3 linked regions of the Lepisosteus oculatus genome follow. The protein of the gene in region 2 purifies or fractionates together with the protein of the main gene of each other region. This does not show direct contact. Links are inferred from orthologs where the notes say so. Each region holds a gene or a part of one and is shown on either strand. Other genes may lie near its edges. The genes, in order: acot9.1, kcmf1 and abhd10b.

Region 1 (10,463 bases), on a different chromosome or scaffold from region 2:
AATCAGTCCATGTGTGAGGCCAGCTGGTTGGTCACTTACCTAACGCTGTTGTGGACGTTGAGGTACTTCTCACGCAGCTCCGGCTGGCTGCCCAGGGGCAGGTGGACCTCGATGTAACTGTCCTTCATCTTGCGAGCGGGCAGGTCTTCCTGGCGCGTGGCCAGCTGGGAGGTCAGGGAGGCGCGCTCCCGCAGGGCCTGCTGGTGGTCGCTGCACAGAGACCGAGCCCAGCAGCAGCACCAGGAAGAAGGAAGGGTTAGTTCCACATGCGACAGCAGCAAGAAGAAACACGTTCCAGCTGTAGAGCCTCCTCCCGGTGTGAGGGAGAGTGAGGAAGGTGGCAGGGAAATAAGTCACAGGAGAGGACAGAGCAGGTGAGAATGGACACACAGGTGAGAGGTGTCCAAACGAAGGGCGATCTGGGGAAAGATGTGTGAAAATTGTGATTTCAGGCTTTCACACCTGTGTGCACATTCTTACCAGCTCTGTCCTCCGTTCTCCTGTGCCTGACATCCCTGCTCACTTCTCTCTCTCTCCCTCAGACCTGAAGCATGGCCTGTTTCTCTTTTCTTCTTTTCAGTGTGGAATTAACCTTTACTTGTTCCTCTGCAGCCAGGCTGCCACAGTTCCCTGCTCGAACCTAAAGCAACACCAGCTGAGTGTAATCAGGGTGGAGCGGTGGCTCTGTGGCTAAGGATCTGCGCCTGTGGCTGGAAGGTTGCCGGTTCAAATCCCGCGGCCGGCAGAGGAATCCTACTCCGTTGGGCCCCTGAGCAAGGCCCTTAACCCTAACTGCTCCAGGGGCGCCGTATAATGGCTGACCCTGCGCTCTGACCCCCAGCTTCTCTCCCTGTCTGTGTGTCTGTGTCTCCATGGAGAAAAGCTGGGGTATGCGAAAAGACGAATTCCTAATGCAAGAAATTGTATAGGGCTAATAAAGAAACATTATTATCATAATTAGTACCTAGACAAGCTACCAAGTCTTTCAGGTCTTGGAGTCTTCATAGGTAAAACACTAGAGGGCAGCATCTAATGACACACACAAGTGTTACATGTTCGAGTAAAACATTTTTTAAATAATTTGTTCAAGGAGAAATCCAAGAAGTATTTCCAAGAAACATGACACATCTAACTTCTATATTTTAAAATGCTCCAGCACCAAAGTTGACTGGAGACACTACACACTGGAGCAATATCTAGCAAATCAAAGTTTCCCAGCAGGTTTTACTGAAACAACAATCACTGAGGAATCGCCCTTGACAGCCACCTGCCTGCCCGATTCATCCTAAACTGCAGAAAAGAGTTTTTATTTCTGAAGGCACCCACATTCGACCTTAATCTAGAGACTGACAGAAAAGTGTATTTAAACAAGAATGAAAAAGTGTCTCTGGGAGGTCAAAATTAATCACATAAATGGCACACTTACACCCAAAGCTTAGCCAAGCTTCTTATTCAAACAAGTTGGAATTAAACATATCATTAAAAATGACCCACAATGAAGAATTAAATACTATACCTCCAGTTAGTTGAAGCTCCCACTATCTGCCTCAGTCTATTCCTAACTGATAAAAAAAAATAATTCATTTACATGAACTGTTGCAAATCCACATTCAATCATACATTCCACATCATTTTCCTTCTTAAATAATTTAACATAAGGGGGTAGAGATAAAACGAAAACAAATTACTTTATTTTTCCATTTAAATGAACACAATCATGCGTAGCAGCAGAGAACTGCTGGGAGATTACGTATTTCACTACGTGAATTTATAGGCGTAGAACACCAACAAAAACTAAAATAACATGGAAATGCAAAAGGCAACAGTTAAAGGTATATATAGTCACCTTATACTTATATACTGTATATATAAGCGCATACATATATAATCATGCAAAGCAAAGCAACAAGCACTGTCCACCCTGATCACTCTTGTAGTGCTATTTACCCACCTCTCAGTAGAAAGAACTTGCTTTCACTGAGAATTTAAAAGACCTGTGCTGCAGGCTGTAAGGAAATTTACAAGGTAATGACATATTCCGTGCAATTATTCACATCTTCAATTTCTCACATTTTCTAAAATCCATCTATTGCCTCAAAGGCAAAACAACAACTGTCAGAAAGGTTAAGTTCCAATCTGCAAATAACTTCCTTGTAAATTCCTTTCCAGTTCAGGGTCCGTTAGGTAGAATAAGTCAGTGCCCAGCTCGTGGCCTACAGTACGTGCAGGTGTTAGATTGTGTTACACATGCTGGTTTGTTACTGTTTTTACCAACACACCATCGTTCACAAGCAAGTGCGAATGTCCTGCAGAAACACAAAAACAAGGCTAAGTCATGGAATGAGGACCAAACTTGAAAACAATGCAGTTTGCAGACAGTAAAAAGTGGAGATTAAAACTATCTGGGAAGCATCTGGTCCCAGGTGTTGTATGTGTTCGGGATTATTCATCTTCTGCACTCAATTTCTGGCAAATCTGTAGCCCCACAAACATTCAATAAAACTCCTTAATTACTGAATACTCAAGTCTTCAAAATGTCAATTTTTCTTAACTTGACAACTGACTTTAATACGGTCCAATGCTTTGTAAAACACCCTTAACCCTGCAGAATAACTAAGAGGAAAACTAAACCAGACATTTAATTTAACAACATTCTATGCAACTCCACAAGTTTTCCATCGAGTCAGAACCACACATAACACTATAGTACAGTACTGAAACCCTATCTTATTTTGGTACCTGAATCCCTTCTAAGAAATATTGATAGCACACAGCCAGTCTTAAAAACATTTTTTTTCTTCCCAAAAACACTGTATGGGCTTGGAAAATCTGTATGGGAATGTCCTTTCATTAATATAACACATTTAGGATGTTAACCCCAGAGTCCTGTCTTGAGTTCTAAAACACACACCCTTCCTAAAATTCAGCTTCCTAAATCAACTGGTGAAGCGGTTTCTCACTCCTCCCCTAGATCTGCTGTGCTTTTGGGGCTGCTGGTGCAGAACGAACACTGTGTGTCTCCCAGGTGGGGCTGCTGGTGCAGAATGATCACTGTGTGTCTCCCAGGTGGGGCTGCTGGTGCAGAATGATCACTGTGTGTCTCCCAGGTGGGGCTGCTGGTGCAGAATGGCCACTGTGTGTCTCCCAGGTGGTGCTGCTGGTGCAGAATGGCCACTGTATGTCTCCCAGGTGGGGCTGCTGGTGCAGAATGAACACTGTGTGTCTCCCAGGTGGTGCTGCTGGTGCAGAATGGCCACTGTGTGTCTCCCAGGTGGGGCTGCTGGTGCAGAACGAACACTGTGCGTCTCCCAGGTGGGGCTGCTGGTGCAGAATGGCCACTGTGTGTCTCCCAGGTGGGGCTGCTGGTGCAGAATGGCCACTGTGTGTCTCCCAGGTGGGGCTGCTGGTGCAGAATGAACACTGTGTGTCTCCCAGGTGGGGCTGCTGGTGCAGAATGGCCACTGTGTTACTCCCAGGTGGGGCTGCTGGTGCAGAATGGCCACTGTGTGTCCCAGGTGGTGGCTACACTTTAGTGAGAAAGGAAGTGGATCCTCTGCTGTATGTATTATAAGCCGTTTTGGGGTTCTTTGGCATGAGAGGTGATGCACAAAATGACTATGACTATATTGCTATGTGACAGAAACCGGAGGTGGATATGGGGACAAGCAAACGCTTGTTTAGTTTACCTTCTGCCATGTCAGGAGACCGTCCCTGTGACCCCGCAGAGCCGGAGGACAGAGCCCGGGCTGCCACCGCGGAGGCAGCGTTCAGTAACCGCAGCCTGAAGAACAAGCACATCGCGTTTCCTGACATTTCCTGAACAGTATCTCACACCAAACACACCAGAGAGGAGATAAATACCGCTCTGTGCGAATACACAGGGCCTTTCCTTAATGAGGGTTTTTAAATTCTGCACTTCATTGCACTTTGACAAATTCTGAGACAACATGCGGACGAGACTGCTCGGTTCTGAGACCACGCCTATCAATGTAATCACTGTTGGACTATTTCACCCCAAACACCTGGAGATTAGAATCTTATTACGCTCCCGTTATTAGAAATAATCTGTATTTAAAGGGCGGTTGATAAAAAAAATGTTATTTACCGTAATGGTTTATTAAACAATGATAAAATCGAGTTTGGTTCACAGTGCAGAAGCTTCACAAACTTGAGAAGAAGAGATAAGGGTGATTCGTTTAAACATGCTCTATGTAATATGAACAGACTTACCTTAGGGACAAGTAAGGTAACATTTCTGTGAAGCAGTAAGAATATAATCTATGAAACACGCCAACGCGCACAGCACAGATGGCTAAAAATGACAGGACTAATAGTTCCGGGTGGACGTGACGTTTCCTATTACGTCATGATTGCAGCAAACCCGCCCTATAAAGTTTACACAAGCGCTGCTTCTGAAGCGTCAAACTGAAACCGAGTTCTTAGTTGCAAAAAGCTTGGAAAAACCCCTTGACAGATATTGCCTTATAAACAAGGTTCCGGAAATACCATTTAAAGGTTTTAGGAATTATCCCGTTCAGCTAACGCTCTCTAGGTTCAGATATAAAAAAGATGATTCATGCGTGTTCTGTAAGACTGGAAAACAAGCGCTTGACACGTTTATCGGTTACCCGTACATACAAAGCTGTTTTAGACAGACTTACGAAAGTTTGTCTTTCGGCATTTAAATGTGAATTTTAAATGTAAGGACTTTGGCATTATGTTATGTTTTGCCAGATGTAATATGATTGAAGAACATTTATGATTAATGTGTTAGTACTACCGGGTAGACATCACCTTCACAAAACAAAATGGTCTCATGCGGCACCCTGCTTTAAAGTTTATAAGATGGAAATATGACTTAAGAAGCAGCATTAATGAGCAGCGTTGTTCTTCATTGTATCCTAAAATGCACAGGGGGTCCGTGCAAGGCAGCTCCAATGGATGGATATACAGCACGTTCACGGATGTTATCAGCGCATCCGGGCTCTGGACCCGCTGGAAACCTCGGACCCCGGACCGCGGCCGAGTGCACCTGCGCGCGCGCTGCCTCGCGGTGACCGGGCCGAGAAAAACACAGGCGCGTGCACGAGCCCTTCTGCGACAGACCGGGGGGAGACGTGAACGAATGTGAGCGAGCAAAAAAAATAAAAATAAATAAAAAAAGAAAACTTCTCGACAGCGCGAACTGCACTACAAACAGCAACAGAAAGGACGGGGAAAGGGGTGATGAAGCAGCCCGTAAAAACGAGTATTGGGACAGAATCGAGATCCGCACCTGGGATGATCGCCGACAGTGCCTTTTGTACACGAATTCACCACCTCCAATAATGTCCTGATTTGTTGTATTAAAAAAAGGTGAAGACACGTTTTTGAGCGGAGTTTTTCCTGACATGTAAAGGCGTTCTTTCACTTTCACCTTTGATTAAAATATGCATTTATTTTTACATAATTCTCCTATTTCAGTGGGTATACAGTACATCACTGTATGAGGCATGCATTGTGAATTATTTTCTAACCGCACTGTTTTCGGGTGAAATGAGGCGTTATCTTGCAAAACAGAGGTTCAAGTTAAAGGGGGGGTAATTGTGCTTCTGTTGTATGTCAAGGCTCAAACTCCTTGCGGACTCCTACGGCGATTTACTTGTGCACTTTGATGTCTTAATAGTACGTCTCTAGATCCATTTGTTGACCCTGCTATTCTGCATTCTTTCTCGAAATGAACCCATTGCTCTTTTCATTGTGTTTCAAGGAGATCACGGGGCATTTGAGCTGGGGCGCCAGTGGCAGATGTGGAGCTCTCGCCTGACAGGGGACGAGCCGGACTCGTCGGCCTGATCCGTCAGGTGGGCTCCAAGCCGCCCCGAGCCGCCCCGAGCCGCCGTCCTTCTGTGCGCTTTTGCGCGAGCACAACGACCGGAAACATCGGAAACGTTTTCTTTAACGATGTTTTTACACCGTCGTTTTTCCCCCCGTTTTCTCCAAAAATCCGAATGGCAAATTTTTTTAAAAAAAAAAGTATATTCCCGCAGGGCGGTAAAACGTTTGCCCTTCTGCGGAGCTGCCCGGCTCTCCGAAGGGTAAGTGACGAGCCATATAGCATTCACAAACACCCCTCGAAACAGGTGGCATTTAAAGAGGAGAAGGAGGGGAGGGAAAGGGGATTTAAAAAAGTACATATTCCACTCTTGTCAGATCGTTGGGGGAGGTGTTAAATGTTTGACAGAGAGCCGCGGCGCTGTGATTTTCCGAGCCCGCCCTGCTGTCTGACACACCGGGGGTGGGGACACAGGTGTGCACTCAAGGTCCTTAATGCGGCCCGCGGGGAGGGGGTCATTCCGAGTCCCGTGACTGGTCAGAACTCTCCCGATTGTTCTAGAACCAGCGCCCCCCCAGATGAGCGGCCCCGCCGCTTCAGCATCGGCGCTGGCGACTTGTTGCCCGAGGTCCTGATGAGACAAAGGGACAAAACGACCCTTCCATCGGGCGTTAAGATCCTCAGCACTTGTAAAAACAAACGGCAAGTCGGAAACAGACACGCAAAGTAAACCCATAAGTACACGGACGTGATATTTTTTAAAATTATGTTTGCGACGCTACAGCCAAACGTGCACTACAGTTGTACAGTACAGTTTCTGTTGTTTTTTTTCCCTAATTGGGGCACCAGGCTGCAGAAGCCAACCGCCCAGAAGAAAGGTAAATTTCCACCGTGCTAACACAGCATTCGCTAGGCCACATGTAACAGTTTGGGTTAAATATTGTTTAAAAAGACTCCGTGTGCACCTTAAAAGGGGGAAAAAAAACTCTTTCGGGCTCTAAAGAGGCGCAGAGGACAAACAACAAAGCACTAGCCCTGAGGTAAACAACAAGACATAGTGACGTAGCGGCCTCGATAGAGATTGTGATTGGTCATCAGACAAAGAGCAGACGCCAAGCACCCGCCCCCTCCCCCGCGGAACCTATAAATACAGGCTCCCGGGTCGGAAGCGCTCAGTCTAGCGCCGTTCCGAGCCGCTGCTGTTGGATGTAATCGGTTCACACGGGGGTCTGGGTCCCAGACTGTCAGCGGAGGGGGTAACACTCCTGGGAGCCGAATGAAGAAACATCTCCTGCTTCTCTTCACATTCAGAGGACTCGTGAGAAAAGGGAAAAAGAGTAAAAGAAGAAAATGGCCAAGTTCATATTGCGGAAAGCCGAGCCCAAGGACGTGTCTGACATACTGCGACTCATAAAGGTAAGTTCCGGTTTGGCTTGTGACGCGTTTTTGTTTTTGTTTTTGGGGTGTTTTTTTTTTTTTGCAGGCCTCTCCAGGCAGACGGACAGTCGGCACCCGTCTTGGAGCACCTGAAAACGTTTCCTTTATTTATCTTTTTTTTTTTTTTGCAGGCCGCGTTTCTTTACGGTTTCTTTCTCGGTGCCGTTACGCAGGTGATAAACGAGGCTGTTTTTTCTAGTCCGACGGCCAGGGTGCAGGCCCGTCTCCCGACGCACCGTTTCCTCTTTATCGGTACAGGGGACCTGCAGCCACGTAAGGAGACGGGGGGGGGGGGAGAGAGGGGTAGGGGGATGGTGGGTGTTTTGACATTTAAAAAACAAATCCTAAGCTCGGGTTGGCGGCGAGTAACAAATGCCTGGAAGTTGAGTTGGCGGTTTGCGCAGGAACTAGTCCCGGGTATACATCCCCTTGACCACCCACACCTCTCCCAAATATCGCTTCCCCAGGCTGGGTCCTGCTCCCTCAGACCGGCAGGTGCGTGGGTCCCACAGCCGGGGCGACCCGGGACTTAACGGGGCTCTTCTGTGGTCTTGTTTTCCAGGAGCTCGCGAAATACGAGGAGATGGAGGATCAGGTCATATTGACCGAGAAAGGTACAGTTTGCCAGCAGCCGCACCGCCGAGCGGGGTAGTCTCTGATCAGACTCTGGGCCTGCATTGCTGGCCATGCAGAGAGAACGGGCAGCACTCCCAGGCCCCTCTCAAGTCACATGAGCCTCCCTGAATTTCTTTCCCATAACGTAATAAGCGTCCCCGTCCATCCCACACAAATATCCATGTAGGCTTGCTGTGTGTTGCTGAATGCTGCTGAAGTGCTACTGCTCAGTCAATCCTCGCTTTGTAGATGGCCGTACAGGGGTGTCCTTATGAAAGCCCTGTCAATCTGTTATGCTAAGGATTGTTTCCCTGTCACGGGGGAAGAGGGTGGTGGTTCGTAATGGGTCGGATTGTAGACATTCAGGTTTGTACTCCCAGCGTCGCTATTTTTGCCCAGAAGCGTTCCCGGGAGCCATTGCTTAGCAATCAAGGAAGTGGCCCAGCTTCTTCAGCCCCGATCTCCCCCAGCCGGCTCGAGGCGTCTCGCTCACCAGCCCGTCTCCTACTCCAGTCTTTTTTTTTCTTCTCCATCCTCCCCGTGTTCCGCAGATCTGCTGGAAGACGGCTTCGGAGATCACCCTTTCTACCACTGCGTGGTTGCAGAAGTGCCTGAGGACCGGCGGACAGCTGAGGGTACTTTTTTTTTTTAGGGAGTATTGCAATTCCAAAGCTCCGCTTTCATTTCAAGTAATGCATGATCACGTTTCCTTGAGTGTGGGTTAAGATGCGATGTGCACTCCTCTTTCAGGTGTGGTCATGCATTATTTGTGCAGTGTGGCTAGGATATCAGTCTGGCTCCTATCTTTAGATAGGACTGAAGTATGCAGTGTCTTCTCTAGCTTTTCTTATTGTTGCAGTTGCACATAGCATTTTATGGGATGTGCAAAAAATGGAATGTTAAACTTGCTGCTGGTACATTAAGATTCGGATGAACGTCCAGTGTTTTGAAGCAGAAGGGTGGCTTTTTTTTTTAAGTTGACCAGATTGCAGAATGTTGACCCTGGCTACTGAGTTTGTAACCCTGTTGAAGTGTATTCTCTCTAATTTATCCCCAATCTTCAGGTTACAGTCTCTTGCTTCGACATGTACACAGCCCTTGGCGTGTACATGGGTGGGCGGGGAGGTAACTGAAAGATCAGTTACACAGTAACATACATGATCGTAACACGCCAGGTAAGGCCCACAGGACTAGCGCCATGCCCCAAACTGCACACGGTAGCTCAGAACATGCCGGCAGCCCTCTCTATTAAGAGGGTGCATGACAGGTCCTGGAGAAGGTTTTGTGCTCTTTTTGTTTTTAAGAGCTGCACACAGGCAAATTCTGTGGCTGTAGAGTTCTTCCAAATTCAAATGTTGGCAGCGATGACCCACACTCTTCACTGTGGAGACTTCAGTTGCAATTTAAGCATTGTTCCACCTCCAATGCAGGTCAAAAAGTTATTCAGTGCGTGTATTTGTAATCCACTGGTATCTTCGATTGGCTGCGCAAGGATGTTTCTCAGTCTTGACTGTATTCACAGTTCACCCTTTTTATATCTAGAGTTTAAGACTTATTCTGAACTGCCGTGTAGATCCGATAGCGATCTTGTTGGTTTTTGCTTCAGGGGACAAATAAGTCAAGCAGTCCAAGTCGGCGTGACTTGAACATGCTGTTTAATTGACAAGTACTGTCCCCCAGAACACAATCATGCATGGAACATGTCCTCTTTCCTCAAATTTGTGGTTGCCCTCTATTAAATGTTAATTTAGCCTGGAGAACCTTCTCTAATTGTCATGACCTGTTTTCCAGGTTATAATGTTGTAGGATTTGCCATGTACTACTTCACCTACGACCCCTGGATTGGGAAACTGCTGTACCTGGAAGACTTCTATGTCATGAAAGAATACAGAGGTAATTTTAAAACTGACATGCTGCTTTAGCTTTTCACGTGGGACCTGTGACTTCGTTGATTGTATTCAACTTGTTTTTCTTTTCCAGGAGATGGTATTGGGTCTGAAATCCTGAGGTATCTCAGCCAGGTAAGGCTGGCTGACTTTTGGGTGGTGGGGGTGACGTTTTTGGGTCCTGTGGTTTACATTGTGGAATGAAGTACTGGGAAACAAGGGAGTGGCCTTTTAGTGTTAAGTGACGTTTCTGGAGCTCCTTAGTCTTGGCTCAGTGGTAGCACGTAGAGATTGTGGACTGTTCCCAAGGGATGGTCAGCCTTGGCTCTGCATGGGGTGTCATTGTTTTTACTTGTCGTTCCGCCAGACCGCAGTGAAGTCGCGCTGCAGCAGCATGCATTTCATCGTGGCCGAGTGGAACAAGCCCTCCATCGAGTTCTACAAGCGGCGCGGCGCCTCGGACCTGTCCCTGCAGGAGGGCTGGCGGCTCTTCCGGATCGACAAGGAGTACCTGCTGAAGATGTGTGCCGAGGAGTGAGGGCCGGATCCGTGGCTGGGAAAACCGGGAGCCCTTCCATCTGGAAATGGGAGCTTTTTAAAGCTATACAAACCTTAAGAAATTTCGCATGCGTGTTGACCTGTATCCTGTCTTCTGCTTTTTGACATTTTTACTATTTTTATACTAGTAGCACAAGTATGCCTATTTGCTT
Region 2 (10,563 bases):
GCAAAGTCTAACTGCTTCAGAGATCTGGAAGAACTCAAGGCTTCTGATTTTGCTCCCAAACTTACAAACTAGCCATGCAGGTTTTAAAGACCTGGTACCAATGTCACTTCAAACACATAATTCAATTAAGCAATTAAAGACTCAGAAGATGTTGCAAGAACTACCAGCTATGGAACTATAGCTAAGCTTGGCAGGAACATCAACATAAAAAAATCCAGGGTGTATAGCCTACCTTTAAGACAACAACAAAGTGCACACGGACAAGTTTAATGCAGAATTTTAATTGCTCCCAAGTAGCATGGCTGTGCCTGCATCACAGGGTGGGCCTGCTTTAGCTATTCTGACATGAAACCTTCCTGAAGAAAAGAAATTCAGCTAAGTACCAAGATTCACACAGAAACGATACTTCACGGTTTTGTGTTACTGGGCACTGCTCCACTATTTAGCATGGCATCTATCCAGTCTCTGTGCAACCTACCCCAGACTTTGTTTTGCTCAATAATACTGCTTTAATACACTATCATAGTAATTTTGCTTGATATTAAATCGCAATGTTATTGGCACAATTATATGAAAACATACAATGGTTTTTCAGTCTAGAATACCTTGCAATTTCTGAAAACCGTGCAGAATGAACCTTCAAGCTGATATATAAAATTGATCACCTCCTAATATCTTCAACAATGTACAAAAAAAATCACAAAAATAAAACTTGAGGAGATAAACCACGCTGTTCTCTCGTAGACGTTATGAGACAAAGATAGGGAGTGTGCATGACAGATCTTTAACTCATCCTTTATACAGTTAACAAGTAAATCTGTATTGTGACTGCAAAACACAGCCAACTGAAGATGATGCTTTTAAAACCTGAAAAGAATGTTCAACACATCCTAGAAAAAGCTATTAAGAAAAAAAATGTAAAACACTTGACTATCAGCTGGAATTACTACAAATTAAGCACATGCTATTCAAAGACTGAATGCTTTCTAAGGACTATATTTTTTTACAACGAAGGTATTATCTACTTTGTCTAAATTTAAAATATATACCATATTTCAGTAAACTGAGAGGCATTGCATGTGTGAATGTTCAAGCAAAAATACTATCGGAAAAAAACTTAAAAGTCTTCAATTAACTTCACTTAAAGACGGTCAGTGAAAGTATAGGATACCATGTGGACAAATCCTCTGTAGTATTAGAATTGTAGATTTATTTTGACAGTAAAATATTAAACTTTGCTCCATTCATCAATGCACAATTATCCTGAACTAAGAAATATGATACTGCACCCAGTTCTTCAAAGTATTTAAACATATACTAAAAATGGGGCTTTTGGACATCTATAACTCCAATAACTGATTTATAAAGCTACTTCCCAACAATTAAAGTGTACACAATCGCCAGCATCAATATTAAGAAAAGCATAAGAAAAAACGCTCCCACACCTCTTTAGTAAGATATCTAAATAATATATACACTAAGTTGTAAAAAGCACAAAAAAGTAAACTGATTTACTGACAACCCATATAATTTTAGTACAACTTGGGAACAAGTTGCAATAAATCAGGCTTGGAGAAAAACAAAAAGTTTTTCTAAAATCAGCCTGGCACTTTGATGTATTCCTTCTTCCAGCATTTAAAAGCACCCTTTCATGTTGTCTCAACAGAAATGTTGGCAAAAGTGTTGCATTTTTTGCCTTTCCAGATATTCTTCCCCAATAGCCAGAATCAAATACACTCCTTAACTGAATTTAAGAAAGCACTGACACAAAAGCAAAGGAATTTTTACTGTGACAAACAACAAATCTACCACAGATACAGAATGCTGTTGAGGACCATAATAGTACTGTTTGTGATGAAAGAGCTGTGAGCTAGCAAAGTTAGGATTGTATAAAACAAGTTTCAGAAATCAGACCTCCTTCCAGAAAGCTGCAATGTAATTGGGACGTTTCAAGCATTGCAATAGGGATGAAACTTATTTTAGAATATCTTTCCACTTTCACAACATTTGTGCTTTGGGCCATATTGCACTGAAAACAAGCAAACAAGCTCAGACTTAGCTTGTGTCCTTTATAAAAGGGGTTAAATTACAGTACTTATTTCTACATCTCTACCACTGTGCCTATTGGGGTTTTTTTGCATCACAACCCACATATATTCTACAGTGGTTGATCACTCTGACTAAGGTCTGCAAGTCATCGTTTCATGGTAAACAGTGCCATTTACCCAAAATCTGAAAGAGAACAAATTCAGTAATGAGGCAAATTAAGTATATTAACGAAGCAGAGATTATTGGAAGAACTTCTTCAAAAATGTGGAAGGGATTCAATCTTTAATATAACGGAAGTTCAGTAAAAACCTGGGTTAAACTAAAGTTCTTAATTTCAGAGCTGTGAATCCTGGTGAACACAAAATCTTAATCAGTTTAGTAGATCTTTAATTCACTAAAATCTATAATTAAATACAAATTGAGCAGCTGAGTCATTCAATCATAATGGCCAATGCCTCCTGTAATTCCTTGATTTAAGGTGCACAGATAAAACTGGTCTGGATACCAAATTAAATACCACTTGGATGTTTTCGCATCAAGTGGTGTCTTTTTCGTTCATAAATTACCACTTTCAACCTATACATAAGCAAAGCAGCAGTCTAAACCCAGGATCAATGCTTATTAATTTTTTATGTCACCCATTGCACTGAGGCTGGTAAAAAAAAAAGAACTCTGAACAACTTGATCAACTCTTTGCTTTTCTGGATTAGTCAAAAACCGTTCACTGATGTGGCTCATGCAGTTCTTCAGAAACCATTTACATGTGCAAACGCTGGATTTCGGTTGCAAACACGCCTACCCCGCAGATATATCTAGGTCTCTCCCACTACCCAGTCTTCCAAATATTTCATAGCATGAAACAGCACTGCACACACACACATGAAACGCTGAATAACCGGAACTACATTCATTAAGGTTTATTTTTTTCAGATTTGGCTAAGGTTTAAACACAGATTCCTCCTTGTGAGCTACGATTTACTGTAACATGCTTAGTAAAATATAATTCCTCTTCCTCCAAAAGTTACCCTGCAATATCACAGCGATTATAAACTATCAGTATCGTCACTGCAACCCCCAAAATAAAGAACACAATGTTTAAGGGGGCTTATAATTTTGAGAAAGGCAAAGGATTCAGATGGTAGTAAACTGCTTGTACAGCTGATTATGTAACAAGACAGCCAATACCTAAGTTAAAAACTCATCTGATACGTATATTACTTGTGAAGTATATATATAAAAACATGTCAATGCGCTATTAACTCTTAAACGAAATTCACCTTTTCTTGATACGTAATCAGTAAATATCGACAGCCTATTGAGAAAGAAGATTAAATTATGAGCAGTAAAACACAACACCATAACCAGAAGTAACTTAAAACTCCCCAACAGTCCAGAACAGGCAATCTCTTGTTGAAACCCAGCCTTAATATTTTGTTTTTTCCCAGAGTCGGTATTCGACAAAATGAAACCCGAAAAGGCACAATAAAGCAACACCCAAGCAGTAAAGCGGTCTCGATATTTCCTTGACAAATTCAAAGCGGTGGCTCAAAGACGCACCGTGCCCTGTCTGCTCTCGGAGTAGTAGGCCTCTGACAGGCCTCATCCTTGCATCGGCCACCTTGATGACAGTGCAATCAGCACCTCAGTGGCCGGGAGTCCAGGGGTGGGGGGGGAGGCTCGGAAAAATCCACGATTTCACCCCCGTAGCGACATCCGAAGAGGCACTACCTGGGCCTTCTCCGAAAGCTCGCAGTTCGCTCGTTTCCGTGCTCTGCCTCCCAGCAGGGCCGGGGCTCTGCCGGTTTCGACCCGAAGGAGATTTATTTGGAGGCTCGTCCTTGCGCTTACTCGGCGCAGTCAGGCTCCGGCTAGTTACAGCCCGAGAGAGAGGGGGGTTGGGAAAAAAAAGTGGCAAATTTTCATGGCGGCCGCCATCATGCGCCTCTTCCAATGCATTTCAATACAAAACATGGCAACCCCCTCCGCCGAGCGCCGCCGTCTTCGTCCGTCTCCCTCTTTATGGCACCCATTTTTCCCCGCTTACCTTCATGTCGGGACATCCTACAGACGCTGACACAGCCCCCTCCTTGGGCTCCCTGGCACGGATCACACAAGAAGATGCCGCTTTTGAGAAGTGAAGCCGGGACTCGCTCTCTCTCGCCTCTTTTCTCATGAAGATGGATCCGGAGCACCCAGCTCTCTGCCTCCCCCTCGCAGTCTGTCACTGCTGTGCTGCCGGAGCGCTGGAGGACTCCGATCGAAACGCTAGAGGGCGCGCCTCGCCCCATGCTTCCCTACTGACCTGGACAAGGCGAGCTGGCTGCTCTTTACTGAACGAGTCCGGAGCAGCGCGGAACTGGCTACAATCTGTCATTTTTTTTAACAAAACTTTATTCAGTGAACTGAAAAATTACAAAGCACCAACAGCGCCGTACTTACATTTTTCAATAACATCAGAAAGTTTTAGTAGAAGTTGGTTAAAATGCACTCCTGAATTAAATTGCTACCCATGAATACATTGAAGAAAAATATATTTTATTGTCATTACACTTTATATTTCGTCTTACAAATTTAGATTTTTCAGTCTATGGAAGTCATTATGTATCAAGATTAATAATAACCCATAAATCCTTGTGAAAACTATTTTGTATGTTCTGTGTGCTTATATCTCTCAGGGACAGAAGTTTATTTTACCGCGTTGCGCGGATGAGTATTTTTTGTGTGCTTTTTTGTTCGTCTCCTTTACATAACATTGCTACGCAACACAAAAAAATATGATGATATGTCGCTTCTTTAAACTTTTTTTTATACACATACTGTATGCAATCGTATATTCTAAGACTCATCTCATACTTCCAGACCTTTTAATCAGTATTGTAATCCTAAAGCATGTAGCATAAATATCTACTATTTACATGAGCAACTCCTAGGCCCCATGTGAAAAAAAAACAACAACAACTTGTCGTACAGTATATGTTTGTGTTTGTCCTGTTTTAGAACATAAGCTTGTTTATCTAGCCTGTTTAAACTGGTAATAGTTAATTAATGCCCTGATTTCTTTCACGTTATCAGCTATAAAAAAACGTGGCTGAACTGCTTGTTCCATACAACCCTTTGGGTAAAGAAGTGCATCATGTTCTTGGTTTTAAATTGCTTCCATGTAATTTCCACATGTACCCACTAGTTCGGATTTCTGCTTGAAGGCTACTTGGTCTAGTAGTGGTAAGGCTGAGTATATCCAACTGGTTGTTCGTTGTAATTATTCATCAGATACCTTTATGCACTATGGCATAGTAGTGTGGTGATGGTCATTAGGGCCTCATGGCTCTAGAATTCTCTGCTCATTTATGGGCTGGGGTGCCTTCTGTGTGGAGTGTACATGTTCTCTGCATGGGTTTACTCCTGGTGCTTCAGTCTGTGTTCACCTCACAAAGACATGCTGATATGTGGGTTTGTTATTCTAAATCGCCTGCTCCACAAAGATATTTTCATGAAGACGCTCACATATTCATGGGCATCCTGTAGACTTCCCTTAATAACAGACCTTACTACAGCACCTTGTGGAAGGAAGTGGATTCCTTGTTGGTAAGAAATTCTAAACAGCTCATTTCTTGATACCCAAGAATTATAGTTCCTCCCATCTGATCATTGACACAAGTGCTTCAATATCGACCTGAAAGTAATAGAATTGTGCATGGAGACCTTTAATCAGTTCCTAGTAGGAATTTGTTTGTGTCCATGAACACGAGCTGAAGGAAACATACTTCCACCTTCCCATTGTAAAGCACTACTGGTACTGTACATCTCCATTTTGCTCTCAATGACTTAAGTACTTACATTTTTAACATAGGGTCCGCTTCTTTGCAGTGCAAGAAATTAAGAGCAATGAAATGAAAGAAAAGTTGTTTCAGGATTTAAGAAATGTCCTTTATTACTTGGATACAGCAGTGGAAGCCCATTGCTTGCCAAATTACCAGTGATGTGCATGTCACACCCTGAGCCATGTTGCCACCACTGATGCAGAGGAAGCTTTCATTTCCCCTGACTCAGTCAAGACCTCAAGAGCAATATCTGGAAAATGCCAGGCACCATGGAACAAATAGCAGCAGCACATCAGTGCCAGACCTGATCAGTGCAATCTTTGGGTGTTTCTTCTAGGTACAAAACATTACATGGTTGCACTCTGTCTACCATACCATGGGAAAACAGGAGTTACTGTTAAGAAGAAGAATCTAACTCTGTGTCTGTGATGGCCTTGGACTGTCATAATTTAAACCTGCTAAGACTAACTTCCTTTTCAGTTCAGTGTATCAGATCAATTTGCCTGTGGTGGCATGACGTCAGGCTTGTGAGTTCTACACACCCATCCATTCATTTTCTGGCTGCTTTATCCAATACAGGGAAAGAGGGGAGGTGGAGCCTGTCTCAGAAGACAAACAGGCATAAAGCAAGTATGATTATGCAAGACACAAATATTTAAAAAAAACACAACATCAGAGGGCACGCACAAACACAGACACGCACACACTCACACCAAGGCCAATTTCCCCAGAAGCTATTTAACCTACCAGTATGTCTTTGTAATGTAATCCGGAGCAGCCAGAGGAAACCCATGCAAAAACAGGCAGAGCATACACACACCAAGCAGACTGCGCCCTAGGAAATAAAGGAATACTAAGCAATACAATATTAATCAGTTCTTGAAATTACCACCAGATGTCACTCTTTTCTGTAAAAATAACGGCTTTACTTTTTCTTTCTATGAGAGAGTTCTCCTATTAGTACTGGGTAAAACCCATCAATAGAACTGACAGAATAGGAAATACCACTACAGCTGCTGACACAATTAGGCATCATAGGAGACTCATAATCCCATCACAGTTATCAAGAACCCCTATAATTACTACACCTCTTCTCAATATTGCTGTGCTGCCCAACTTCAATTTGTGCATCAACATGGGTGAAATCCCACTGTATGCTGGCAAAGGTAAGTGTTTTCAGATTATTTGTGGTTTGGTGTCTCATTTAGCAATGAAAGAGCACACTGATAAAACTTAGCAAAGAATTACAGTGTTGGGGAACTTGGGTGTGGATATTAGGAGTTGGCTTCTACTTATCAGTGGTGATCTCTAGGCAAACATTTACTGTATGTTGAGCACATTGTTTAGGGCCCACCATCTCAATCATGTTCAACTACACACAGCAAGGCTCACTAAAGACCTGACACATCAACTGGGGATCAGCATGTACAGTAGTAACACATCACTGGATCTTAACACAAGCAAACATTCTTGCTCAATTTTTCTAGCTATAAGAATTAGCAATTTCTTTGTAATTATTGTAATTACCGGCAGTATTTGTAACACCACTGGTTAGATTTCATAACTTCAGATACATTAGGAAATTACCTTTCTGAAAGTTTCTACAAACATTAAGGTGTAGACAGTACAACCACTCATTACGTGACCCACACAGCCTGTTGAACATTATATATAATTTCAAATCAGTTCTAAAACATTGTTAATATTGTGCAATTCCTTCAAATATAACCATTATTGTTTTTTAGGTTGGAAACATATTTTGGATGCTATTGCACATGTAAACTATTATAAAATTATATAATAAATTAATGGAGATGATGTTGTTGTACATAAATCATAAAATTTGAGCAATAATAAAATCTGAATGCATATTGTCAGTATGCATTTTCTGCAAAGGAGCAAGTAAAGTGAAAATAAAATTCTACTTCTTTTTTGCATGGAATAGTAAAAATAGAAAATATAAATTTGACACTTTATCATCTAATTTACTATAGACATGATTGCTGCTACTACTACTAACTTGAATAAATCTGTGTAATCACCGTAAAAAATTAAATTAGTCAGTTTAATTTAATAACCACCGACTGAGCAAAATGATTTTAGCAAATGACATTTTTCAAATGAAAGGTCACTGTTCAAATCAGGACACTATTTCCTGTGCCTAAGACTAAACCAAAGAACAGAACATTAGAGAAAGATGAAAGTTTATCACAGTTTTTCAGGGTACATCATTTTTTTGTTCATCGCTAATTACATTGTGATTAGCCTTAGCTGCTTCCATAGCTGAAATCTCCATGAATAAGACTGATGTTCATTAAAGGCACTTAATGTGGCTCTTGGGTCTTGGTTACATTTCAAATGGTGTAACTGGCAGTAAATCATTTTGGAAATACCACTACAGTTCTAACTGAGAAGTCCAATCCTAGCTTTTAATCAATATAATGCAGTGCTTTCATTTTCAGCAGCAACAGTCAAAGCTGTTCTTAAATGTTTTTTATGCATTGATAATGTAGTAATATACAGTGCCTTGCGAAAGTATTCGGCCCCCTTGAACTTTTCAACCTTTTGCCACATTTCAGGCTTCAAACATAAAGATATAAATTTTTTATTTTATGTGAAGAATCACCAACAAGTGGGACACAATTGTGAAGTGGAACGAAATCTATTGGATTTTTGAAACTTTAACTAATAAAAAAATGAAAAGTGGGGCGTGCAAAATTATTCGGCCCCCTTGCGTTAATACTTTGTAGAGCCACCTTTTGCTGCGATTACAGCTGCAAGTCGCTTGGGGTATGTCTCTATCAGTTTTGCACATCGAGAGACTGAAATTCTTGCCCATTCTTCCTTGCAAAACAGCTCGAGCTCAGTGAGGTTGGATGGAGAGCGTTTGTGAACAGCAGTTTTCAGCTCTTTCCACAGATTCTCGATTGGATTCAGGTCTGGACTTTGACTTGGCCATTCAAACACCTGGATACGTTTATTTGTGAACCATTCCTTTTTAGATTTTGCTGTATGTTTGGGATCATTGTCTTGTTGGAAGATAAATCTCCGTCCCAGTTTCAGGTCTTTTGCAGACTCCAACAGGTTTTCATCCAGAATGGTCCTGTATTTGGCTGCATCCATCTTCCCCTCAATTTTAACCATCTTCCCTGTCCCTGCTGAAGAAAAGCAGGCCCAAACCATGATGCTGCCACCACCATGTTTGACAGTGGGGATGGTGTGTTGAGGGTGATGAGCTGTGTTGCTTTTACGCCAAACATATCGTTTTGCATTGTGGGCAAAAAGTTCGATTTTGGTTTCATCTGACCAGAGCACCTTCTTCCACATGTTTGGGGTGTCTCCCAGGTGGCTTGTGGCAAACTTTAGACGAGACTTTTTATGGATATCTTTGAGAAATGGCTTTCTTCTTGCCACTCTTCCATAAAGGCCAGATTTGTGCAGTGTAAGACTGATTGTTGTCCTATGGACAGACTCTCCCACCTCAGCTGTAGTTCTCTGCAGTTCATCCAGAGTGATCATGGGCCTCTTGGCTGCATCTCTGATCAGTCTTCTCCTTGTCTGAGCTGAAAGTTTAGAGGGACGGCCAGGTCTTGGTAGATTTGCAGTGGTCTGATACTCCTTCCATTTCAAGATGATCGCTTGCACAGTGCTCCTTGGGATGTTTGAAGCTTGGGAAATCTTTTTGTATCCAAATCCGGCTTTAAACTTCTCCACAACAGTATTACGGACCTGCCTGGTGTGTTCCTTGGTCTTCATGATGCTCTCTGCACTTTCAACAGAACCTTGAGACTATCACAGAGCAGGTGCATTTATACAGAGACTTGATTACACACAGGTGGATTCTATTTATCACCATCAGTCATTTAGGACAACATTGGATCATTCAGAGATCCTCGCTGAACTTCTGGAGTGTTTGCTGCACTGAAAGTAAAGGGGCCGAATAATTTTGCACGCCCCACTTTTCATTTTTTTATTAGTTAAAAAAGTTTCAAAAATCCAATAGATTTCGTTCCACTTCACAATTGTGTCCCACTTGTTGGTGATTCTTCACATAAAATAAAAAATTTATATCTTTATGTTTGAAGCCTGAAATGTGGCAAAAGGTTGAAAAGTTCAAGGGGGCCGAATACTTTCACAAGGCACTGTAAATGCCTAAAATATGCACCTCAGAAAGACAGAAGATTTTAAAATATGACTTCATTAAATGATTTTATGGAAAACTTTTTGCACCAGAGAGAGGCTTCAAACGACAGAACACATTTATACTAGATGTGGAACCTCTAGTTTTCATTGAGTCGAGTCATGTAACTCTGTCGCTGATCAAGTCTTATAAAATAAATGAAACAGAATGGCTTGCACTCAACTTAGTAAATGTCTTTAACATCCAAGTTGTTTGGGGGGAAAATGAAAACAAAAAGTGTGACTGGAACCCATAAGATTTGGGGTTCCAGTAAAGGGTTTAATTTCTTCTCAGTCTGAACAAATATACAGTTAAACTAATAACAACAAAATACAAATCAGGAGTTCATAGCACAGCTTTTTAGTCACTTTCTCTACTCCCACTCTGTCACTTGCATGAGATCTAGTCCTGTTGTTTTTTAGCTGATAGAACTCTTGTTCTCAAACACAGGTCCACAAACAAAAACTGTTTACTTGCATATACTTTTTAAATGGAAAAGAAAATACAAATATA
Region 3 (10,727 bases), on a different chromosome or scaffold from region 2:
GCTCTCTTCACTGCATTCATAATGGATTGCTCACACAGTGTAAACATATCAGTTTCACTGTCATTAGCCTGTTGAGTTTTTTACACTAATATTTAGTCAGCCTGTGCTTCAGATTCTGAATTGAAGATGTGTTAAAAATTAGCTCAATCAGCACAGCATGTTTTGTTTAAGGATATATAAGTACATTTCTTTATAAATATCCTGCTTGTTTTTTTCCTCCCTTAAAAGCCTGGCATGAATAATGTTTTTTGGCCAAACATCACTGGATCCATCTCTGCAGATTTTATCACACCTGACAACACTGGGCTCATTATTCTGCACCTGAATACTTAATTAGGTACATAACATATGAATACATTACATCATACAGTATAGGTTGGTGTTAAGTAATTTACTAGGTATACATATATAGTTTAAGTAGGTATTAATTACATTGGTACATATTGTAGGTACACATTGGTATTAAGTAATGATTATAGAGGAACATATACAAAGTATAAATAGGCATTAAGTAATAAGTAGGTGCAGAACAAGACTGTTCACAAGTGCAGATATAAATTAATCCTGGTAAAGCGAAATAATTCTCCCATAACTGGACTGACTTTCATTAACAAACAAATTAAAACTGCACTGATTCAATCACTTAAGAAATCATATTAAGTTAAATCAAAAAATAACAAAGAATAATGAAGACATTCTTGATACTCACAAGATTTGGAGTGCTGATGTATTTCAAGGAGAACCTCTGGAAAAACAAAAGAGATTTGTATTATTACTTATTAAAGCGAGCACATGCATTTTAATTAACAGAGTGACATTTGAAATCACACACATCTTGTGGAGCATTAAAAACATTCTTTGCACAACCTCAGTTTTGTTTGGAAATGTGACAAGTTATAATAACCATAAAATAATGTTTTGCTCCATGTTTCTTACTTTTGCATGCGAGTATTATTCAAGGTATAGAATATTTCTTAACATGCCCAGTATATTTGAGAAGCTTAGTGCCTGGCTTGAGAAGTGTTTTAGCAGTTGTGGCAGAGATCTCAAAGAAAACTTATAGTGGGGGTTACCAGGAGGCAAACTGGTGGGTCACTCTGTCGCGTTTGGTACTGGGAGAATGAATGTTTTCTGGTTTCACATGGGGGGTGACGACCAAAGACATTTTCTTACTTCTTGGTGCTGGTGCTAAGGAGGGTTTCTCCTTGCAAGTTTTATTTCTTGGGGTTAAACTGAAGGATGGCTTATTTTCCTACAACACAAATAAGTGGGGATCTCAAAAAGTATTGGGGTGCACCCCCCCCCCCCCCCGGCACAAGCCAGTATGTCCACTGTAAACCCCTCCGAAAGGCTGGCCAGCTCGTAATTAATACCTGAAAAAAAATCGGCACACCTTTAAACATCAGATAGAAGAGAGCTTGAGTTTATCTGAGTGACATGTGATGTTCCACCTTATGAGTGCAGATAAGACATTTGTCGGGGACAATCCCTGCACTAAAACCAAAAAGAACGCAACATTTCCAGAACCAAAGAAGGGGGCTTGCATGTCGCACAACCTGAATGGTTTACTGCTCAGGCTGTGAAACAGAACACTCTATTGTTGAAGATGACAAGAATGAAGCGTCTGTGAGAGACAGAAACTGGCAGCTGATATTATCAGCTTGTCAGCACTGACCTAAGAAGGTAAGACAAAGACCTGCACTCTCTTACTGCTCTCATTGATGAGCTCCTTAAGAACAACAGCGGAGCACAAAGCGGATCCATCCAACCAGGAAATCACCTCTTGAGCACGAGACAGGTTTGCCAGACTTCCTTCTCATCGATACTAGAGAGTGGCATGTAGTTTCTAGGAGGGTCTGGGGTTCGGCAGCAAGGGCTGGACACCAGATCATCAAGGTACAAGGATGGAACTTCATTCCACAAATGCACACAATCCCATTTTTGAACATGCCAGTGCATTTTCATTTTATTAGACATATTCCTGGAGTAAGGTTTTGGACTATGAATAGCTCCCATGTGTTATTAGCTGGGAGAAGATGATAATTTGAGAGTGCAGAGCTCTTCCAGTTCCTGAAAAGGCACAGCTAGCTGGAAGCCTGACAGCCTGGAAAGCAGATATGGATTGTTTTATTCCGGCCTAAATGACATTTATCCAGTGAGCCCATTTCTGAGTGCAGTTCAAACACCAGGGGCTATACAGGGGGCTTGTTTTATGACCCAAATAAATTAATTTCAGACAAAGTAGCTTGTAACCTCTGATGGCACTGACCCACTTATAAAAGTTATTTTCGTCGAGTGCATAATACTACTGGAGCCTAGGCTTAGCCACTGAACAGTTAGGCCACCCCTCTCCTTTTGGCTGTTTTTTTTTAATCGCATAATTAAAAATAACGGCGTGTCTGCCAAACACTAGATTTTTCCGCCACGGGATCTCACTCCCGCACTCAGACATTTTAAAAACCGCTGGCGAGCTATTAAACTATCAATAGCTGAGCCGTTTTATGGTATTACCATTCAGCAACAGAAGGGGACAGACTTATTAATTGAGGGGACATGCTCCCGCATGCGGTTGCCAAACAGGGGAACGTCAGTCCAAAGCAATTTAATTAAAACCGAATTAGTTTAAAGTCAAAGCTGAAGAAAGTTGAGCTTCAGCAAATCCTTTGCCCCCCGTTAGGATGGTGGGGTAGCCCTTCTGAAAGTTAACGAGTCGCGTTGGTGCAGCCGGGGAGCTGTAGGCAGCGTAGTGGCTGAACGTCTTTCACGTTTCTTAAATGAAATAACCGAACCAAAACTCCGGCATAAACCTTTCTTATAAAACGTAGGATAACACCGCTGTCCGAATGCATCTCGCAATTAGATTATTCGCCTATACGTTAGGGGGGAGCACAAAGAGAATTAAGTTTATAATGAGTATCAAATTAGCAGCAGTCGAGGTCTACTATGATAGAAGCATGACAGTTGATTCTGGGGGTCTCCTGGATGGCGCCCGGGAAGTGCTTTTGTGCAAGCGGCCACAGAATAGTTTGACCCCCCCCCGCCCAGCACTCAAGATTAGTTCAACCCCCATCTCTGCCGGATGGCCCCTCAATCACCCCGCAGTAGCCATGGCAACCGGCTAAACTCAGCGGCCGGCGACAAAGCCTTAAATATGAATCGCGAAAATGAAAAGACACTTGCTATCCATTTTCCAAACACGCCTTGTGCCTTAGAGCAGGTTTCCCCAATTCAGACGCGAAGTTACGCTCCTGATTGTTAATGTCAGCGTAACTTTATAATGAACTTTAGATGATAATACGCAGCCTGCGACAACTTTCAGAAACAGGGAAAAAAACAAAACAGATTTAGTACATCCGTCCCCCAAGCAGGAGTGCAGGCACTTCCATCGGGCGCTCTCGAAGTAACTTACCTTTTTCATCATGAGGAGCTTTTTTTAAAATTGTGATTTAGGCTGAAAGAAAAAATCCTTCCGTCGGCTCAGATCGCGCAGGGAACGGTGACCGAGTTTGAAAAACGCATCGCCTCTTCCTCCTTCTTCATCCATGAATCGCATCGCCTCTCCGGGCTCTCGGAACCGCGGCTGAAGACCCGTCTCCACGGCGCCGTCTCAAACTGGAGAGCAGAGATTTGCTCGGGGCCGCCACGGTTCAGGGCGAAGATGAAAACTTGAAATACAGTATCGTCTCCTCCTCACCTCCCCCCACCCTCCCAACCGGTCGGTGCAGCCGCACACGGAACAAAACTCGCAGTATCGCAGGCAGGCGACTGAACACCATCAAGAGGGGAAACTAGAAATACAGAAATCAAGAGAGAGAGAAAAAAAACCCCCAAAACGTATAAATGTCCACTTAAGCAAGAAATGCACGCTTCTCAGAAATGAGATGTGTGCCTGTGCACAGGTTCCCCTCGGTCCAAAACAGCGCCCTGAACCCGCCGTGAGGCGGAGTTACATACTTGAGTCGAACTGCAAACAGCCGGGAACGAAAAGGCGAGGTCTGGCACTTCGGGCATTTCACAGATTTGCGGAAATCTCTCTCATCTGAAAATAAGCCCCGGCGAGCACTTCGTCCATGTGCAAACTGGCTCGCATCGTCCCTCCAATAACACGGCAGGCTAACTGCTGGGTTTCGCACACGTTTGACCTGATGGACAGTAACGGCACTGGAGATGGGAACAATTCCCCTCCCTCCCTCATCCTCCTCTCAAAGAGAGCACAAAGGTGGTCGCATCTACTGAGCAGCGCACAACTCCTTAATAATAATAAAAAAAGGTCACAATATAATTATTCAACATTTAAACGCCAAAAGACGTGTGATTCAACGTCTGCAGTTATCTCGCCGATCCCCAAATTATTTCTGGCTAGGATTCGCACCTATCGAACTCCCTCAACGCTGCTATTAACAATAATTTCCCGTTTGATGATAAAAAAAGCCAAACACGGCGTTTTCTCTGGATGACTCCATTCCCGATTACTGCGTAATTTTCCATCCCACGTTATAAGAAAGCGACTTAAAAGCGTAACAGAAGCAGTCGTTCTAATAATTTTAGTTAATTTCCTGATCAATCTAAAAAAAAAAACTTATGATGACAATTAGATTTAAATATTGTTTTAGCTTTCAAACAGTCGCATTCCAATAATTTCTCATTTTGATCCCGGCTACGTATGTTTTCTATTTCCTGTCATTTTAGCCGCAATATAGAGTTCAGGCCAATTATATTAACAGAGGCAGAGAGAAGCTACAACCCCATAACTGAAGCCAGTATCAGAAGAAAGAGCCTGTCCTTCTAAAACAACCTCCCTGTGGAGATTTCCTGTATATCTTTTCATTCCAAAAATGCCCTGAACTGCTTAAACTGGAAACGTGTAGCTACTTTGAATAAAGTACGTTTGGTTCACATGTGACTCCAGGAATGCGAATTAACACGTGCACAGATTATGCAAATAAAACTGAGGATTTGGTTGCCGGTTGTCCCGAATTAAAACCGTAATAACCTCGTTTTCCATTTAAAAAAAAAAGATGCATGGTTTCAGATGAGATTTTGTAAAACGGTTCCGGAATATTTTAAAAGCAAACCTTGCAGTACCTGAACAGACAACGGAAAATCTGAAGCTCCCAAACCCTACAATAGCTTTTCCAACTAGATCCATCGTATTTACTTTGTGGGTTCCTTTCTGTTCCAGTGGAACAACCTAAGCGCGAAGAGGAAAAGGTTAAGGTTTATCCCATGCTGAAAAGAAAAGAGACACGACGTCTCTTCTTTGGAGTTTCTTCTTTTCAGACGAAGAAGGCTCCACAGTCGCAATACTGTGTCCCTTTTTTTCTTTTCAGCTTTGAATAAACCTTTATCTGATCCTTTGCAGCCTACGCATGCTGACGCAGCTCCCCAACTCAACTTCTTCAACTACAATTTGAGTCAAGGACTGAATTTGTGACCCTATACCTGCAGCCAGGACGAGCGCATGACACACACCCCCTCCCTCCTCAACAACAAAGTACTAAAACATGTCGGGTGGCGGCAGATATGAACTGAAAAGCCCATTTCTTAGATAAGCGGTCTTGTACCCGAGGCGAAGGGGACCAGTCTGCTCACCAGCCGCTGGGCTGCCCTCGTGCCTCACGCGCCTTCCCTTCTCACTTTCAGGTCCGCGCGCCTGGCTCTCGCTCGCTCGCTCGCTCGCTCCGCGCGGCTCTTCCCTCTCGCGGTGTTTGGGCCGGGAATTGCGATCCAGCATGGCGGCCGTGGCGCTGGGGAGGTGCTGCAGAAGACTCCTGCGGACCGGAGGCCATGGCGGCGGCGGGACGGCGCCCTCGTCCAGCAGTGCAGGCGGTCAGTACTCTGGCCCTTGCTAGCGGCCACGCAGCTCGCGTTGCTGAAACACGGGGGGTGGAAAGTATCCGTCGCTGTCGGGAGGAGGAAGGGAGAGATCGCAGGGGGAGTGTTAGGGGCCCAGGCAGCTCCAGAAGGCCAGGGAGCGACTTTTTCCTCCCTAAAGCGGTTTTCCAACAGACCAGATTAACGTTTCTTTGTAATAAAATGTGTAAAAACGCAGCGTGTATCCGGCAAAAACAATAATAAATGCGCCTTGTCTGTTCCTGCTTTAGATTGTCCTAGTCTGGGCGGCTTAATTGGAGGTGTAACACCAAACACGGTTAGCTGTGCATTTAAAACGCTGTTCTACATCACCTCGTCATTTCATATGCAGTCGGGAAAAAAATATGATCCGATAGGGAGGACGTCTATCGGAAGCGTGGAAGCTGACCGATGACGATTCGCGTTGCCGGTGACGGTTTTTGAGGAAAGTGCGAGTCTCGCTGGTTGAAGGTTTTAAAGGGGGATGGTCCTGTAAAGACCCGGGCCGTTGGCTCAGCGCTCCGTGCTGCGGGGGAAGAAACGCGATGTTTGTTTTCGTTCGGTTATGTTCAGTCTGACTGCTCTGCTGTACGTCGGAAATCTCCTTATTATCGCCTACCGTCGGAAAGGGAACAACGTTTTAATGCCTCGGCAAAATAGTTACAGTTTAGAACATGGAGACAACAATAAAGGCCGAAAATCGGACAGCGCCGGGTTCGATGTCGTTGTCACGTCTTTTATGATAAATTCAGCCGGGGACTACAGACACCATTGCTATGCTCACACTGAAGATGACTAATCTTTCAGTAAACTGCACAGGAACCCGTGTTTCTCAACACTTCACCACGCTGGTGCTGGACTCGGGAAGTTCGCTACGGTTTATAACTGAGGGTTTTCCGGGTACCTAAGAAAAGTCATAAAAAATGACATTATATTTCTGTGTATCTGTCTGCATACTTGCAATGAAAAAAAACAACAAAACAGTTTAATTTAAAATATCCCCTTGGTTATGGGTGTCCTTCTGGAGTGTCTTAAGAGGAGGTCTCAGGACCAATGTGGGCTGTAAGCGTGAGACAGGACTGACACGTGTGGAAGACTTGTACACTACAGCGAAGGTAAAAGGCTCTGTCCTGGCGTGTGGGGTGTCGCGTTTGCAGTGGTTTGACGCAGTGAAGTGTAGCCTGGTGGCCTTCAGCTTTAAAGAAACTGTCCCGGGTTCGCTCGAACAGAAGGTCTTGCCCTTCTCTGGATGAAATATTTGGAGAAGTATATGTACCGCATGTCAGTGAAGCCAAGTTCATTTGATAGACCTTCCTGTGGCATTAACGTGTTTAAGGCGAGATTTGGCAGCAGAAGTGCAGTCTGCCGCAGGCCGACCCTGATCGCGAGAGCCGAGACGGCGCGTGTGATTTTAGCCGTGTCTGAAGATTGAGTGTGCGTCTGTTTATTATTGCGCAGGATGGGAAACGTGGGGAAGGCCGGGAGGTGGCTGAGTTTGCGGCAGGTACAGTACAGAGATTTGCCTCTCGGTATGAAGCCCCACGGGCAGCTGAAACTAGAGCATCCACAGAAAAGCCAGGGGATGGTTTTCACATGGTGCCAGCCCACCCAGAGCCTAGTTACCTTGCGCCTGGGGGTTCAGAACCTGGCTATACTGTGTGCCTTTGTTTCCCACAATCAGCTGCTCTCTTTCACTCAGCTTATACTGTACATCCTTCCCCACCATAGATTAATTTTTACCTTAGTGATACTTTATAATACTTCATAGGATCCTTTCTAATTTTGTACATGTATTGAAACGTCTCACAAGTGAAAACCAGTAGGAATCATGCAATAGATTCTTTGTTCATTTAACCACCTCTGGTTTTTCCTGTTTTGTGGCCTTTTAGGTTGTGAAAATGAGATTTTTACCTTACTGGAATGTGACATCTGCAGCAAAGCACTAACATTCCAGTTCAGCTGTCGGTGTTTAACTATGGTGAAATTAAACCCTTATGTGAGACAGTTCCTGTAAATAACTATGCCTACATTACATGCACGAAGAAAGCCTTTTGGTTTGGGGGAGTATCGTAATTATCAGTGCTTGATTTCCGTTTCTCATCCTGTGCTGGTGCGTGTCTGACCTGTGATAAAGTATTTTGAACTGAATTGAATAAACCGACCCAAAGGAGAAGATATTTCATTATCATCTAGGGGAAAAAAAAACACTTGTGTCAAATTAAGGCTTAGGATCAAAGCAAAAGTGATTACTTGTTCAACTCAAGTTTCCCTTTTAAGAGCTCATCAGTTTTGTTGTTGTTGTTGTTTTTCTCCTTGAAGGTGTTAGGCACAAGTCCTCAGTGCAGTATTTAAGTCGCCCCGACCTCCCGAAGCTGGCCTACCAGAAAGTGAAAGGCAAGAGTCCAGGGGTGGTGTATCTGCCAGGGTTTGCCTCCACCATGAATGGACAGAAAGCAGTGGCCTTGGAAGACTTCTGCAAGTCGCTAGGCCATTCGTATTTAAGGTGATTCATTTTAGAACTCCAGAGTGGGGTCTTATGATCCTGGATTACTGGAGCAACAGCAGTTTTTGTTTGTTTTCCAGTTTAACAATAACACAGCCTGTTCAGATATGCGTATGAATGTCCTTCTCATGTACTGAAAGTTGCACCTCCCAGCTCCCTTCTCCCGGGCACCAGTGAAGGTAACCTTTGAATAAGGTATTGCAGTGCTTAAACTTTGCCCTCTGTTTCAAATAGGTAATGCATTGACAGTGCAGTGTTTGATGTAATGGTGTAATGATTGCTAAAAGAAAAACATCGCTTCTACAGGTGGCAAGCAAAAAAAGAAAATGAGGAACACCAAGAACAGAGAAAACTGAGGCTTCCACACAAGTCTGGCTCATGTTTTAATGAAGCAGTTAACACCCCGCCGTGTTTAGGGTCATGTGTAAACCATGGACCGGATTGGCTGTCTGTAATTACGGCAAGGGGTCAGGCCGTTTCAAACGAAGGCTGCAGTAAACCTGACGCACTGAAATGAGATATCTTAAGCTGGATGTTGTAATAAATATGGCTCCCGATCTGGAGAAGCTAACCCATTATAACAATGATAATTGATAATACCTCAGAAAAACAGCACCATTGCTCATAGCAGGGGGGCGCGATCGTTTAATAACATGTACTTGTGCCGATTCCGCAATGACGTAGGGTCAGAATGCCAGCCTGTGATATGTACCCCCCCCTGGGGCTTTCTCTCAGGTTTGACTACACAGGTTGTGGGGAATCGGAAGGCGTGTTTGAAGAGGGCAGGATAGGCACCTGGAAGAAGGATGTGCTGGCGGTGCTGGATGAGCTCACGGAAGGCCCCCAGGTCAGTCTTGCCTCCGGTCAGTCTGTTCAGAGCAGCTCCCAGTCCTCCCGGGAGAGGAGACGGTAGGTGGTCTCCCGTCCCAGCCTGAGGAGCAGACGGTAAGATTTAGAAAAGTTTAAGTAGGTAGCTGCATCAGCGTGTGCGTAGGCTACAAAAGGAACAAGCAGAGAAAAGAGTTCAGGTTCCACAAGATAAAAAAGGCTCCACAGCCGAAACATTGCGTCTCTTTTCTTTTCACCATGGAATAAACCTTTGCTTGTTCCGTAATTATAATACAGTGTGTGATCTCCTGTCCCAGCCTGGAAAACATTAAGCCCATCTCTAGGTAATGTTCTATGTGTTGTACGTTGTATGTAAATGTCCTATGATGTGTTTGTATAGTAAATGTCTGTCTATGTTGTGTCAATTGCATATGCTGTTGCAGCGCTGTAATTCCTCGGCCATGCCAGTAGAGCTTGTTGAATTGAATTGAATGTTCAGAGGCGAGTGGGCGTGAAGCAGAGCCCAGCCACAATGGGCCCGTACTGAAGGAGCCGTCCCGGATTGAGCTAGCAGTCACCCCCAGACCTCTCCGGGGAGCGGGGGGCAGTGCTGGGAGTGTGATCGGGGCTCCCCCTCCCCCGCCTCTGTCAATTCAGTTCAATTCAAGGTGCTTTATTAGCATGACCGATGGGTACAGTCAGTGTTGCCAAAGCAAATAAAAATAATAAACAAAACAAAAAATAGAAGTAAAATAAAATCTACAGACATATTACAGACATTTACAACAAAGACATATTATAAAATATTGACATATACTGTAGGCGGCTGGAGCATTATTGGGAGACAGACTCACTGTTCCTCAGGCTGTGACAGGAGATCACATACTGGGCTGCCAGATCAACGGAGTTCCCTCCTCCCTCTCCCAGTAGGATTGGGACCCGTTGTGACTCTGGCAGGTGTGGGAACCTGTCTCTCTCTGTCCTGCAGGTCTTGTGATTGGGGCTCTCCCCCCCCACTCCCTGTCCCTGTCCCTGTCCCTGTCCCTGTCCCTGTCCCTGTCCCTGTCCTACAGGTCTTGTGATTGGGGCCCTCCCCTCCCACTCTCTGTCTCTCTCTCTCCCTGTCCTGCAGGTCTTGGTGGGATCCAGCATGGGCGGCTGGCTGATGCTCCTGGCCGCCATCGCCCGGCCGGAGAAGACGGCCGCGCTCATGGGCATCGCGACTGCCGCCGATCACTTCGTCACGGCCTTCAAGGCCCTTCCCCTAGAGGCAAGCGAGAGCCCTTTTCCTTAGCCCAGGGAGAGAGGAACCTCGCGGGGCCGGCCTCCGCCCAGCGCAGCGATGTCCCGCAGAGGAAGGCGCCGGCGCAGAGAGTCGGAGATCCCGAATGAACCCGGCCCGGCCCGCGCCGCTCGGCGGGGGAGCCCTGGCCCGACACGCCTCCTGCACGGCGTGTTGCGTCGCGCTCGGACCCGAGCTCCCGGGTCTGCTCCGCGTCGAGTCCCTCACGGCGCTTTTTTTTTTGTTTTTTTTTTAGGCGAG

What was found.
Region 1: the proteins of kcmf1 (region 2) and acot9.1 purify together in Homo sapiens (affinity purification with mass spectrometry; 3 studies listed by BioGRID and IntAct, with this or other methods). This does not show direct contact. The link is inferred for Lepisosteus oculatus from reciprocal best matches to the Homo sapiens genes KCMF1 and ACOT9.
Region 3: the proteins of kcmf1 (region 2) and abhd10b purify together in Homo sapiens (affinity purification with mass spectrometry; 3 studies listed by BioGRID and IntAct, counting the BioPlex papers as one, with this or other methods). This does not show direct contact. The link is inferred for Lepisosteus oculatus from reciprocal best matches to the Homo sapiens genes KCMF1 and ABHD10.

What each region holds. Positions count from the first base shown.
Region 1 is NC_090700.1:4,387,351-4,397,813, reverse strand, and holds the start of acot9.1 (acyl-CoA thioesterase 9, tandem duplicate 1), read right to left. Parts: upstream 4,355-10,463; 5' UTR 4,254-4,354; coding exon 4,231-4,253; intron 3,782-4,230; coding exon 3,687-3,781; intron 2,307-3,686; coding exon 2,280-2,306; intron 1,563-2,279; coding exon 1,517-1,562; intron 211-1,516; coding exon 40-210; intron 1-39. Other genes in the region: diamine acetyltransferase 1, read left to right, coding at 7,166-7,231, 7,815-7,866, 8,419-8,502, 9,659-9,760, 9,848-9,888, 10,121-10,291. UniProt on the Homo sapiens protein: Mitochondrial acyl-CoA thioesterase. Catalyzes the hydrolysis of acyl-CoAs into free fatty acids and coenzyme A (CoA), regulating their respective intracellular levels. Regulates both mitochondrial lipid and amino acid metabolism.
Region 2 is NC_090698.1:23,488,272-23,498,834, forward strand, and holds the start of kcmf1 (E3 ubiquitin-protein ligase KCMF1), read right to left. Parts: upstream 4,353-10,563; 5' UTR 4,338-4,352; coding exon 4,094-4,337; intron 1-4,093. UniProt on the Homo sapiens protein: E3 ubiquitin-protein ligase which accepts ubiquitin from an E2 ubiquitin-conjugating enzyme and then transfers it to targeted substrates, promoting their degradation by the proteasome.
Region 3 is NC_090700.1:5,878,394-5,889,120, reverse strand, and holds the start of abhd10b (abhydrolase domain containing 10, depalmitoylase b), read left to right. Parts: upstream 1-5,732; coding exon 5,733-5,829; intron 5,830-7,311; coding exon of another isoform or gene 7,312-7,357; intron 7,358-8,172; coding exon 8,173-8,356; intron 8,357-9,091; coding exon 9,092-9,203; intron 9,204-10,316; coding exon 10,317-10,454; intron 10,455-10,722; coding exon 10,723-10,727. UniProt on the Homo sapiens protein: Acts as an acyl-protein thioesterase that hydrolyzes fatty acids from acylated residues in proteins.